2 linked regions of the Alligator mississippiensis genome follow. The protein of the gene in region 1 binds, or shares a complex with, the protein of each later gene. Links are inferred from orthologs where the notes say so. Each region holds a gene or a part of one and is shown in the gene's direction. Other genes may lie near its edges.

Region 1 (7,383 bases):
CCTTTGCTCACGTGAAGCAGCTTCTCCATGGGGCAGTGGCCCAGGGCGCCTTCCCCGAGAAGCAATGCTTTTTTTTTTGAATGAAACAAACTTGAATAAGTGCTGAAAGCGCCTGTAGTGGGCTATGCTCTGCCACTTGCATCGGGTGTTTGATGCCAGGCTCACTCACACCAACTTCTCCTTGTATCTTTTCTCCTGCATCCTCCTCCTCTTCCTCCTGCTGCTTAGATTGCTTGATTATTTTCCCCCCCAATTAAGAAAGAATGAAAAGCACTTACAAGTGCAGAAGTCTGAAGGGGAGTAGGTTAGAGGTGCCAATCCAGTGGTCTCAAGTCTCCATTGAACTTACATGGAGGAGCTACAGCTACTTTTCTCCTGTAGCAGTGAATCATATTGCAAGCCCTACTCATTAGGTCTGATTTGGAGACGAGTTTCAGCTCCTAAAACTATTCATGCTCTGTATATATAAAGTTTGAATACCCAGACTTCGTATTGATAGAACAGATTCCACCCACTAGGTTTATATAACCCCTCCCCTACTACCCCGCTCCTTTTTTTAATTTTAAATGTTGGCTTTAAAAGTAGCTGGCAGTGCCTTGTTAAGTCTGTCTACCTATTTTATTTAAAGATTTTAAAATCATTTTCATCTTCTTGCATTCTCCTGTGATTTCAGTTAATGATGAAAGTGTGTATGTTTTGGTGAGCATGTGAGGCAGAAAATACAATTTGTGATGGTGCAGGATAAAGGTTTTATTACCACGAGTAATCAATGGTTGCATTAATTGCAAGTGGTGAAGCCATGAGTGAATAGGTTATTCTAAACAAGAATCTATAATAGCTGATGCAGCATACCAGATCCTTCTGTATTTTTATGATGCATGCATTCCTGGGACAATATTTTAGAAATGTTTGAGGTAAAACTTACTATTTGTATGCCTTTGCCAGTAAAGCTAGATGCCTTAGTTGCCGATTAGCTGTATTCTGCAATGCTCTGATATTGCAGAGCTGCCCTCTAGCTGTGTAAAAAGACTCTCAAGTGGCATAACAGTCCTGTAGATAGATCTGTGCTGACCATTGGTATATGAGATGTGGCTGGGAAAAGCAGGCAGTGTGGGTTTCTTATGGCCAGCTTATGGGCCCCCATGCCATTGGCTATACTGTCAGTCAATTTGGGTTGTTGGGAGTTGGGACTGGCCCAACACCTACATGACTTAAGGTTCAAGGAAGCACAGATATGGCTTAGAACTATATTTTCAGCCTTCTCCACTGCCTGCAGCTCAGGGGCCTATGAGTCAAACAGTACAGAACCCTGAGAGACTCATTAAACTCACAGAAATGACCTACAACAGCTTTTTGCTTTACCTTTAAAATATTACCATTTGATGGTACAATATCCTAGGACTTTGCATGGTTGGATGTCTCACCTTTCCAGAGCACAGCTCATAGGCCTTCTTTGACTCTGCAGGCATTTGGGATACGTTAACTTATTTATTTTTCACATATAAAAAGCTGTCACTGTTCTGAGACAGAATGATACTTATTTTGGGTCTCTGGCTAATATGCTAAGCATGCAAATATTTGGTTGAAATTTGCTTCATAGTAAACAGAAGAACCACCAACATTGTGTGTGAGGGCTGGCTGTACACCTGAACGCAAAGGTGTAGCTTGTGGGGAAAAGAAATAACTTCTGGAACAATATACAGTAACATAGTATCTTCTGAAGGTGCTGGGGGTAGGGGGATGGGGGAGGGCAGAGTATAAATGATATATAGAGATGGATTAATGGGAAGAGTATAGGTGAAACAACCAAAGGAGTTTGATATAATCCTCACACATGTAACTGCAGTTCATCATAAGATTCCAGAATGAATTATTATATATAGCATCTAGGTGTCAACTTTCTGTAGGCAGGTGGGTACCACAAATATAAATAAATGTTATGTGAACAAATCCATGACCACCTGGTGTCCCATGGTGGTAGTGTTTAAGTTTCCATGGAAGTAAGATTTTTTTTTGTGAGGATGGAGACAGAGCCAATTACCTCCCACAGTTTTAGCTACAGGAGTGGTTCTCAGCCTTTTTAGACTCAGTGAACCCCTGATTAGGCTCAAGGCACCCCTCTGTAACTTTTGCAAAGTGAGTGGCACCCAATTTCAAAACCTACTGTATTTATTTCAGTACTGACCTCTGTGCAGAGGGGCCAGGCAGTGTGGATGGGGGTACAGCTAGGCAGGGAGTTTCCCCGTCTGCTTATCTTTTCACGCCTCACTGTCAGTATATCCTTACACTTCCTATGGCATCCCAGGGTGTCCTGGCACCCTGGCTAAGAAGCAGGAAGCTAACAATCTCTGCCAGCAGGATAGGGCTTATGCCATGCAGTGAAACAGTTATGATGTCCTCTACCTTGGATCATTGGTACACATACACATTAACCTGTTCGTTTCTGTTTCATATATATCACTTGCCCATTTACAAACGCTTTTAAGTTTGTGGATGATCTTCCTTGCAAGCCAAGCATAAGAAGCCTGTTGTACTCAGTGTTAGCTGAGTGCTTACTATATTTTATAGAATCATACAATAACACTTACTTCCCATGACTATGTTTTGGGATGTCCCAACAGCTTGGAAATGCTGTGATGCATGAAAATCTGGGTTCTGTAGAGAAGTGCTTTTAGCCAAAAGGCTTATGAGGAAAGAGTAGATCACCTTCAGGGACAGAAGGTGATCTACTTAGATGAAAGAGTAGATCACCTTCAGGGATAGAAACTTGGCACAGTAATTTGTTTAATCTGTCAGCTAATGAGGCAACATTCTTGAGAAGAGGGACGGCAGACACATTTGAAAAGACTTGATCTAGCTTTTTTGAAACAACCCTAGGGCAGGGAAACAAATGTGTACTCCATCGTCTCTTTATTTGACTCCATCCTTCCCTCCTTGTATCTCCCCTCTTGCATCTTTATCTTGTTTGCAGCAACTTTTTTTTCTGCTCACCCCTTACGTCGAAAAAATTCCAAGGTATAAAAAAATAAGATTTGTTATAACCATTTTGGCCCTTTCTTAATTCAGCTCAGTAGTCCAGAACTGCTGCCTCTACTTATTTTGCCACCTGAATATATAATGAATTATTGATACTTCCATTGTTACTCTGGTTGTCTGAATGATTATAATCAAATCTTTATTCTTTTCTCCCTCATGTTGGTACAAAAGCAGTGTAACTTCTTTGATTTCACTTGAATTTCTCTTGATTTGTGATCTTCTGTTTACACCAAAATCAGGCCTATGTTTCATTTTTTTGAGGGTCAGAGGATGCCTGAAGGGAAAAAAGACCTTTGAGGTAGTGAAGTTTTGCATGAAAAAACCCTCCACTAATATCAAACCAAACTTTGTGGGTCTGATTCAGACTTTTTTTAGGTCAGATTACACTGGTGTAACTTCATAACTTTAATGGAGTTGCCTCTAAGATGCACTGAGATCACAACTAGGCATCTTGCGAACCTCTTAGCTCATGTTGGATTATTCACTTGCAAAGTCTTAGTTACAGGCAAACCCAGACTTCCTGGAGTTTGGTGACTCTCCTGTCAGTCAACTTTAACGGCACCTCATCTGCTGCAAAACTACTGGCCTCCAAGTTACTTTGCCACCACAAAACTAGGCGTCGTAAATATGAAAGTTAAAAGCCTTCCTCCTCCCTTTCTCTGCTGAAGGATCAGATGACTTGGTCTCAACATGCTAGCCCAGGCGATTAACTTGAGAAGTTGCTTTGTGGGAAAAACAGAAAACAAGCAGGCAGTTGGTTTGGCCACTGTGCATTATGTAACCAGTGCACTGGCTGCAGGAGCTGGATGACTGACATTGAGAAATTCCTAGGGGAGGGGGGAGGGGGTGCAGCCCTAGAGTCACTGTGAGCACTAGCATTTCCAAGAAGCCTAAAGAGGAAAATGGCTTTCAAGAAAGGGAAACACATTGGGGAATAATAATGAAAAGCTTCAGGATCTAATGCGGAATCAAATGTCAATACCCATGTAATTTATTTTCCTGGTGAAATGGCATGCATCCAATCCTGGCATGTGAAGAAGGGGGCATGCCATCTGGGAAATGCAAGGCAGCGACAGCAAGGCAAAGAGACAATGAATGACCCATGCTTTATCCCCTACTCCTCTCTCTCTCTCTCTCTCTCTCCCTCTCTCTTCTTTAAAGAAACAGTGAGATAACTGCAAAAAGTCTTTCCCTCCTCCCACTCACCCCCCCCTCACTCAAATTCGGGGCGGTGACAGCCCTAGGAGTGTGAACTGCCCCTTTAAGACCTGCTCTCTTCCAGTTCTACAGAAAGGGAGTGACCTCTGGGCTTTGACAGCTCCCCTAATAACTAGCAGAGACCGAGCTCCGCCCGCGGCCCCTGATTGGACCGCGGGCCGGTATCCCGCGCGCGGATTGGCTGGCCGCTTCCCCTGAGCGAACCTTTAGAACTCCGAGGCACAATATTCTGTTACATTGTAGCAAAATGGCGACTGTCATTCACAACCCCCTGAAAGCGTAAGTAGGAATCAAAAATGTACATATTCCGCGTGGTTTCAATATGAAAAAAGGCGCCTTTCCGCCGCTCGCTGCCAGCCGGAGCCGGGCGCCTGCAGCCTCCGCGCGGCTCTCCCCGGCCGCCCTCCTCGCTCGCACCCACTCTCTTTTTGTGCCCCGCGCGCGGGCGCCCGGCGCTGAAATTAACGAGAAGAAATTGTTATATTTGTCTCCTTAATTGGCTCGGGGGGCTGGAGGGGAGGGAGGCGGGGAGGGTGGCCCCGGTGCTGCCTGGCAGATCTCCGGGATGCGCGCACCTGGGAAACGCCGAGATCCCGGAGGACCCGGCGGGGCTGCGTGCACTTGCCAGTGTCCTGCGCCCGCTGTCTGGGCGCCCGGGGCCGGGGGAGGAGGCTGGGCTCGGAAGTCGGCTGCGGCGCCGCTCGGCTTCGCGGCGCTGCCACCCGAGCCAGGACTTTTCTTTCGCAACTGGCGCGGAGTTGGGACGAACTTGGCGGAGCGGGCTGGGAGCGGGCCGCAAGGCCGGCGGCGCAGATCCCCGGGGGCGGGGGCACCGCGGCAGTGCTCCGCCACGGCCGGCCTGACACGAAATGAATGAGCCGGGTCAGGGCTGGCCGGGGCACGGCAGGAAGTGCGGAGCTCTGCTTTGCATGTGAGCGCCTTTCGCTTTGACAGGGGCCCGCGGGGCTCGGCTCTGTTTCCGGCTCGGGAGGGACCCGCGGAGCCCCAGCGTGGCCGGCTCCGGCCGCGGGGGAGCCCGGGCGGCTGCTTGCTAGGAAACGAGAGGCGGAGAGTCGGGGGCAGGTGCCTGCGCGGCACAAACCCGCGGGGCTGCCCGAGCTCCAGGGAAGGCGGCTTTAAAGCAGGAGGGAGGGAGGAAGGAGACACCAGAGCAGCCGCCTTGCCCCGGATCGCGTCCCTGCTTTCCCGTCTGCCGCTAATCCCCGACGGCATTAGGGACAGTGGGGTTCGCCCCGGCCGTGGGGAGGCCAGAGGCTGCCTTAGCCCGGTGGAAACCACTTCCCTGCCCGCTCGTGGCACCTGGCGCGGGCGCCCTGGAGTTTTTAGCGATGCGATTGCGGCGCCCTCGCAACTCCGCTCCCTCGCAGCCCCGTTGGAGACGCAGCCGGGGGCTTTTCCAGGGATTCCCCGCTGCTGTCCCCGAGCGAGCTGGAGCGGGGCACGCAGCCGCCGCGTTTACCTCTCTCCATTGTGGCAGCAGCCCTTTACTCACGTGAAGCCTCCTCCCTACGGGGCAGCGGCCCGGGGCGCCTTCCCCGAGAAGCTGATGCTTTTTTTTTTTTTTTTTTTGAAAGAGAAAGAAACCTGAATAAGCGCTGAAGGCGCCCGCAGTGGGCAGTACTCCGCCACTTGCACCGGGTGCTTGATGCCGGGCTCTCTCTCATCAACTTCTCCCCGTGCCCTTTCTCCCGCAGCCTCCTCCTTCTCCTCCTGCTGCTGCTTAGAGCGCTCGAGTATTTATTTTCTCCCAATTAAGAAAGACAAGACAAGAAGAGTTAGATCGTGCGCATTCATTGTTGGCAACTTAGGTGCCTGAAAACAATCTCGACTATACACAATACAGGTTGTTGGGTCTGTCTTTGCCCCTCTCTGCGGGGGAGGGGGGAGCTGAGTTTATTTACACCCTTATGGAAATATGAAGAGTTGGAAGGTTGGGTCTGGTTCCCCTTTTGGGAAAGTCATTCAGGCGCCGCTGCTCTTACGGGCGAGCTGCCGAAAAGGGATTTGAACCTTACTGTAGAGAGAGAGAGAGAGTGTCCGCGCCGGGCTCCCCTCCTGCTTTCGTGGGGGCCAAATGGGGATAACTCCGTTCAAGTCAATGGAGGAAGCCGGCGGGAGAGTGCAAGAAGAACGGGGGCATGGTACGAAGGTGTCACCCTTACTGCAAGACGTGATTATGGACCATTAGGTTGCCCCCAGATATATTTGGGGCGCTCATTACCTCCACACAGTAATTTCTAACATCAGCTGATAGATCCTGCCAATGTTTTGTGTGCACTTACATTCTTTGGGGGCCTAATCCTGTTGCCACTGAAGTCAGTGGGAGCAGGGTTGGACCCTTTATAATTAGCTCTTCCCCCCCCCTCCTTCCCCTGGGGTGAGAGGAGAGGAAACAATAGGCATCAAGTGCAGGGTTTGCTTTTCTCTGTATGCCTTTTAAAGTATGAACACTGTGCAGAGGGAGCAGGATTGGAGCGGGCCGTCTGACACCATCTGTCTTTTTTATTAACTTGTTTAATAAAACATTTTATAATTTTCATTTATTCTTTAAAGTTGCTGATCAGGAAACAATACACATGTAAATAAATTATGCATGGGATAAATTAGGACAAAAGCAGTAAGACACATAATAGGGGGGAAAGGATGCAGTGCACAGTGTTTTAGCCTCATGTGTCCTTCCTGACAATGAAAGGGAGCTGAATGACATTTGCATTTCCTCCGTCTGCGTTTTGATTGTGTCTCAAAACCCACAGACGCCCCCTACAGAAACTGGCCACACAAAGGTTTTGCTCTGCGATAGGGGACAATGTAGATACTATAGGCTGAAATCCTAGCTCAGGTATCATAGAATCATAGAAAATGAGGGTTGGAAGGGACCTCAGGAGGTCATTTAATCCACCCCCCTGCTCAAAGCAGGACTGTCCCCAGCTAGATCACCCCAGTCAAGGCTTTGTCTAAGCTGGGTCTTAAAACCGTCCAAGGATGGAGATCCTATCCTATATATTTTATGCATTTATCTACGAACAGTGTTCTATCTTCAGCACAAAGACACATGGGTTACTCTGTTTATTGGAGGCTAGTCCTTGTGGGATAACATATTCCAATATA
Region 2 (6,858 bases), on another chromosome or scaffold:
CAGTGCATATAGCACCTGCCCGGGCTGGTTTGGGATGCCAGCCCAACTGTGCATCCCCTGTAACACAGCCTGGGACCTGGTCCCAGTGAGTGCCATGGGTGGCACGTGTCCGTGGTACTCTGCACAGGGTCAGTCTGGCACAGTGCATGGGTTAACAGGGCAGCACCAGGGGCTGGATGATGGGGCTCTGTAAGCTGGATCTGACCCATGGGCCGGATGCTTGACATCCCGATTCAACCTGTACGTATTCCACGGCCTCTCTCAGTAATCCTCAGAGGACAGTGAGAACAATTGCTCACCATCCTCTTTACAACCATCTTATCTTGCTTTCAAAGATTGTTCCCTAGGCCTCCCTTTCAGTCTTCTTTTCTCCCTCTTGGCCTTCTCTAAATTGTCCCAATTTTCCAAGCGCTCCCCATTCATGTTTAGTGATGAGATCCTGGCTTTCTGCTCCCACCCACAGTGTCCATGGCGTTCTGCCTGTCCCCTTTCTAGGAGGCACTTGTAGCACAACCCACCAGCAAGCTCCATACACACTCCACCACAGCCATTGGGTGAGTTTATGCAGTGGGAGCATTAATGCGATGCCTTGGAGAGTTTGTTCAGCCACAGCCCCACATGGATTGGGTTATCTGCGTGACCTGCACCCTCAGGAACAAATCCCCTTTGTAGTCAATGCCTTTCAATCCTGGCTTTTCTCCACCTCGGAGGAAGTGAGAGAACCGGGGACACTTGCTGCTCGTCAGGGGCCGGTTCTTGCAATCTTCATTCAGATTAAATTCTCATGGCACAGGGCGGACGCATTATTGTGTTTGGGGTATTTCCAGCTCGGGTACCTTGCTCTTTGCTGTAGCTGTGAGGTTAGGCAATTCTAGCTGGCTGGTAATTCCCCCCCACATAACCATCTTACATCTGCCATTCTCCCACCTCACTTGTTCTCCATCAGTCCCCAGAGATGGCTGCAAGGAGACTTTGGAGACTCCTCTCCTCAGGTCCTCAGCCCCTTCCCAGAATTGCATCTGGCCCTGCTGATCATCAATAGCTTCTCGCCTATTGTCCTTTGCTGGAAGCCCCCTGAGACCGCCGGCTCCTCATTAATGCTGATCTCCCTCAGGTCCCTGCTCCCTTCAGCCTTTGTGCGGAGAAGGGCGGTGAAGCGGCATGGCAGCCTCTCCTAGGGCTGGAGTGCGCTTCCCCCTGCCTCACCGCATTCACAGGATGTTTTTTGTCCCCACCTCATCCCTGATGGACACTTCCACTTAACCTTCCCCCTTGCCTCATCCGGCCCCTGCTGCTCTGCACAGCCACCCCGCACCCGGGCCTTGTGGTTGCTTTTATTTGACATAATCCTCTAATTAATAATATGCAAGGCTCAGCCTTTCCAAAGAAGGGCAGGGATATTAATGAAGTCTCTGGGAACGGGCTAATTAACTGCAATGATCCCCGTTTTACTGATAGGGAAGCTGAGAGTCACGGAGCTGGAGGGGTTTGCCCCACGTCACAGAGACAGACATGGGCAGGCAGGGTTTTACCTCCGGGGCTCCTGGTTGCACACCCCCTGCTTTGCCCATCACGTCGCATGGCTGCCTTCTCCTCGTGTTAAAGAAAACCTTGAGTTTTTATAAAAGCCTTTGTGTTCTTCCCTGTAGCTGGACATTTCTGATGAGGTACTTTTGCCCTTGTATGTTCTCTAGAGGAGATACAGGGCAGGTCGGTAGGGGTATGGGTTTAGGGGTAGCACCTCTTTGGAGGAGCGTGCGATTGCCATGCCCTTTAAGAGCCCGTGCATAGCTCCTGCACTGGGTCCACTGGGCCCTTTGGATTCCCCTCCATAGACTATGCTTGTGCCATAAAGAAGTACGGCTGGAAGGACCCTCCAGAGGTCTTCGGAGCACACCCCGGTGCAATGCGTGTGCCCCTTCGTGCGCCATGCTCCTTCCAGATGCCGCTTGTGTTGCTTTGGGTGAATCGTGATACCAGGCTGGACACCCGCTGCGTGCCTCTCTGTCCCGACAGGGTGCGTGTAGACCCTTTGCAAAGGGCCAAGTTCTGCTCTCGGTTCCATCAGTGCCTACCTGGACGAGCTCCACTGACAACTGTGGGGATCCCTCTGGATCATCAGTCGCGTGGCGGTGTCAGGATGCTCCTCTCACAGACAGGACCCAAAGCAATGCTTGGCTCAGTGCCCGCCTGCAGTCGGAGGTGGCACAACGACTAGACTGCAGCAGGTGCGGACCCCCCATCTGAAGACATGAACCCCTTGCAACAAGGGCCGAGAGTCGAACAGCCTGTCCTCGCCCTGCCACTATAAGGTGAACTTCTGTTTCCAGAGGCCTTTGGTCCCTGCAGGCTGTTTTCTGGGTCCCTCAACACAGGGAGAAGGAAGAAGCCAAAGGCCTGAGACCCCACGTGGCCCTTCCCAGCTCCCCTGGGAGCCCTGGGGCAGCTGGGCAGGCTACATGCCCCACACGGGCTGCTGAGGAAGTCAGCTGGGCTCTGCATAGGGATCCAATAGGAAGAGAAACCAGTCCGGCCCATCCATAAATGGCTTGTTAAGTCCCACACAATTACCCCCACCCAGGTAATTGCAGAACTGTGCTCTACAACTATTTGCACAGTTCCCCCTGCTGCTTTCTCCTCCCCGGTGTTGTGCCATGTCGCGCAGGGAGGGTGACACGCATTTCCCTGGGGAGATAACGCCCTGACCCCCAACTCTTCCAAAAAAGGACTCACTTTACAGGAAGGAACCGTTCAATGGCCAAACCCTCCAGGTTTCACCTTATATGAATGAATGTCCTGCACACACACACACACACTCAGGTAGGCCTTATTCACATCAAGTCTCATTGATTTCCTTGTGACTCAGCTGGCAGGGCAGGGCTGGGCCGTCATCAAACAGCACCCCCCCCCCCCCCCGCAACTCCAGATGCCCTGCTAACCCCATTCCCTACTGCATCGCATCCTCATCCAAATGCACGCTCAGCTTGGCGCCCCACTTCAGCAGCACACTGCCCATCCCCGTGTCACTTAGAAATTCATGTGTACCATTTTCCAGGGGCTGTTATTTTTGCTGAGAGCCAATATCCAAGGCACAACCTTGCTGCCAGGTTGAAGCCCGCGCTGCAAAACTGACAGCAGTCTGCAAGTCGAGGCCCACACTCCCCCACTGCTTCATTGACTCGATTTAATCAGTTCGTGTTTGCACCGCGTCCTAGAGAGGCGAAACGCTTTGCAGCCCCTCGGCTCCTGGCTCTTCGCGGGGTGACCTTGCCTTTGTTTGGAAACGAGTCTCCCGTACGATACCGAAATGCAGACTTGCAGAAACACAACCACACGAGGCCTTGCACCAGAATGGAAGAGGAAGCAGGAATTGGCAGGACCCCCCAAATCCCTGCTGCTCCGACCACCCCCATAATGGAAACCTGGGGACGGCATGGCACTGCCTGCCAATGCTCAACATCATCCATTTCCACCCTGGGCAGTTGGAAGGGGGTTAAGGGCGCGCTTTCCTGGGTACCAGGGTGGGCTCATCCTCCCCCTGCACTGAGTGCTGGCTCCCCAGGGTTGGGGTTTTTTTTTTGCACGTGCAATGCACCCCAAGGCTTGTTTTGCATGTGCAACTGCACCCTCCGGGCCCGGCCCGGCCCTGCCCCTTGCCCCCTGCCCGGGGGTGCCGGCCGGCCGGCGGGGTGCAGCAGCGGCCGCGGCAGCGCAGGGAGGCGCCGGGCCCGCGGGGGAGGGGGGGCTGCTGCAATGTGCGCGCGCGGCGGTGACTGAGCGCGCCGCAGCCAATCAGCGCGGCCCGTTCCGAAAGTTGCCTTATATGGCGATGGGGCCCGGCCCGCTCGGTCCTATAAAACCCGGCGCGCGCGGCCGGCTGCTGTCGCCGCGAGCTGCTCCCGCCTGCACCGCCAGCCCCAACCCCAGCACCGCTCGACGCCTGCAGCCGCCCGGTGAGCGCCGGGCCCGGGCCCAGGGAGGGGGGTGTTTGCAGGGGGGCATGGGTGCGGGGTTGCATGGTTTGGGAGGCTCCTGGGGTTGCAAAACCACCACCTCCTTGTACCCCGACTGTGCATGGGGTGTTGCAAAACCTGTACCCTAACTGTGCATGGTGGGGGGTGCTAGTGTTGTATGGTGGGGTTGCAAAACCTGCACCCCAACCATGCATGACTGGCTGGTGCTGGGGGTGTACCACCACCTCTTCCCTGTACCCCACTTGTGCATGGTGGGGGGTGCAAGGGGAGTGCTGGTGGTTGGGGTTGCAACACCAGCACCCTTCCTGTACCCCAGCTGTGTGTGGTGGGGGGCGAGGTGTTTGTAGTGCGTCTCTTAAGAGGATTTGTTGCCGGGCTGGGTGGGGAAGAAATGGTCAGAGCTGGGACGGAGGGGGTGTACCCACTGCTGGCCCTGCTGCAGGGCTGGAGGTGCCCGGCTCCCTTGCTAGGAGCTGGGCGCACGCGGTGGGGGTAGGGGAAGGCAGCCTTGGGTGCATGGGGCGAGCGGAGCAGCCGCTCCTCCCACTGCTGGGGAGAGGGTCTTTGTCTGGATGGTCTCTGGGAGGTGGCTGCCCCCCCATGCGTGGGGAGGGGCTGCCCGCAGCTGCTGGCGGGCGCTGGGTAGGGTGGGGTCTCTGCACCCCAGTGCCTGGCTCCTAGGCTGGGAGGCAGGGGTGGGGGGTGCCCTTTGCTCCAGCAGTGTTGTAGGGGAGCTGCCCTGGCACGGGGGCAATGCCCAGCCGCCCTGCCCCAGCTGCAGGGGAGGACTCCACTCCCTGGTGCCCTTGCTTGGCACACGAGGGTAGAAATGGGCTTGGCAGTTCACTCTCCGCTGGGTCTGAGGTGGCATTTGAGCCTGGCCGGGGCTGTGCCCCAGGGGCCCTCCCAGCTTGCAAGGACTGTAATGCTAGAATAACGCTCTGGCTGTTTCAGTGGGGCGTGGGGAGAAAGGAGGTGCTCCAGAGCCAACTTGCTGGGCAAGCTTGGCAGGGCGGGTCTGCTGCTGCCCCACTTGATGGAGCACAAAATGCACCTGTGCGTGGCTGCCTGACTAGTTGCGCTAGTCGGGGCTGCGCAGGGCGGGGAGCCGGAGCCCAGAGCAGGGTGTCGGGAACTTGCCCTTCGCAACTCCTCCATTGTCACGCCTGCCTCCAGACAGACACCCCCACAGCAGTGCTGGGAACAGGGAGTGGCCAGGCCCGGCCTCCTTTGAAGGGAGGGGAGTGGCTGGCAGCGAGCGGGGGCCCTCCCAAAAGCTGGCTCCACGCCGTGCCACTGGCTCCTTGCAAAGCTCGCTCTCACCATTGCCTTTTATGGTAATAATATGAGACTGGAGCAGGGACTTCCTTTGTCCCAAATCTGTGCAAAGGCAAAATATGCAGCACTGGGCTCCCCCTCGCGGCCGGCTGGAGAAGAGGCGCAGAGCAAACAGGAAGCTAGAGAGGAAATGGGTGGGGTAGGCGGCCGGGTCTGCAGCTCTGTCTTGGCAGGAGCTTTACCACATGGGGCTTTCCTCCTCCTGGCAAGACAGGATGAGCGGTGGTGCCTGGCAGCCCTGACAGACCACGGTCTAGGAGTGCCCACGAGCTACTCAGAGCAGCAACTCCAGCATGCTCACATTGTCTTGTGTTGCTTTGCAGTTAGTTCGCCATGGATGATGATATTGCTGCGCTCGTTGTGGACAATGGCTCCGGTATGTGCAAGGCCGGCTTCGCTGGGGACGACGCCCCTCGTGCCGTCTTCCCATCCATCGTCGGGCGCCCCAGACACCAGGTACGTGGGAGGGGAGGGGGTGCTGCCTCTTCTACGCTGGAAACGGTTTCCAAGAAATGGAGTGGCTCCAAAGACTCCAATTCCTAGACTGGAGAAAAAGCAACTCATTTCCGTTCTAGGGACACGTCCTTCCTTAATCAGTTGATGGCTTGGTTCATCCAGCAATTCCCCCTACTATAAGCCACTTGAAAAGCTGGCTGGCCCCTAGCCCAAGTAACCAGTCTGGTAGACGTGGTAGGATGTGGGTGTTTGAGTTTAACTAATGGTAGCCCCTTTTTTTATTATTATTATTTCTTCAGGGTGTGATGGTTGGCATGGGCCAGAAAGACAGCTATGTTGGTGATGAGGCCCAAAGCAAAAGAGGTATCCTGACCCTGAAGTACCCCATCGAACACGGCATTGTCACCAACTGGGATGACATGGAGAAGATCTGGCACCACACCTTCTACAACGAGCTCAGAGTTGCCCCTGAGGAGCACCCTGTGCTGCTCACAGAGGCTCCCCTGAACCCCAAAGCCAACAGGGAAAAGATGACACAGGTGTGTACTGTGGCCTGAGCCCCCCACCCTCTGCCACTTGGCTCTAGCCTGTGGGGAAGCTGCTGGCCAGCCCTCCTCCCTTCCTGTCTTCATCTTTTTTTCCCCCCCTCCCCTTTTTGCTATTCTTTGCAGGGTTTTCCTTTCCTGACCTGAGCCTTCTCTTTGCTGGATCTTGACAGGTTTTATTTGTTCTTCTAAGCTGGTTTCCTCTTGCTGCCTTGATACTACCAACTCCTCTAACTGCTGTTTCTGACTAGACACTAACTGTTCACCTGTCTTGAGTGATTTCTGCCATGTAGCTGTCTAGTTTTTTGGGGGGTGATGGAGAATGTGGCTCTCTGAAGCAGCTGTGTTGCACCTGGGCTTTTGCCCATGTTCTTAACTTCTTCCCAGGACTCGGACTTGGGTTGATGGGTTTGCTGTGGTAGCCCAGAACTGATTGGCATGGCCTCCCATTCCAGTGGACCCATGATTGTTGTCTCTGGGGACATGGGAATGGTCTAGCAAAATGACACTTGCATGACTTGCAAACAATCTCTCACGAGCCTCTT

The links.
Region 2: DPF3 (region 1) and ACTB share a complex: the UniProt entries of both Homo sapiens proteins name them as parts of the BAF complex. The link is inferred for Alligator mississippiensis from reciprocal best matches to the Homo sapiens genes DPF3 and ACTB.

What each region holds. Positions count from the first base shown.
Region 1 is NC_081825.1:235,931,499-235,938,881, reverse strand, and holds the start of DPF3 (zinc finger protein DPF3), read left to right. Parts: upstream 1-4,367; 5' UTR 4,368-4,501; coding exon 4,502-4,533; intron 4,534-7,383. UniProt on the Homo sapiens protein: Belongs to the neuron-specific chromatin remodeling complex (nBAF complex).
Region 2 is NC_081836.1:53,263,997-53,270,854, reverse strand, and holds the start of ACTB (actin, cytoplasmic 1), read left to right. Parts: upstream 1-3,845; 5' UTR 3,846-3,953; intron 3,954-5,635; 5' UTR 5,636-5,645; coding exon 5,646-5,768; intron 5,769-6,067; coding exon 6,068-6,307; intron 6,308-6,858. UniProt on the Homo sapiens protein: Actin is a highly conserved protein that polymerizes to produce filaments that form cross-linked networks in the cytoplasm of cells.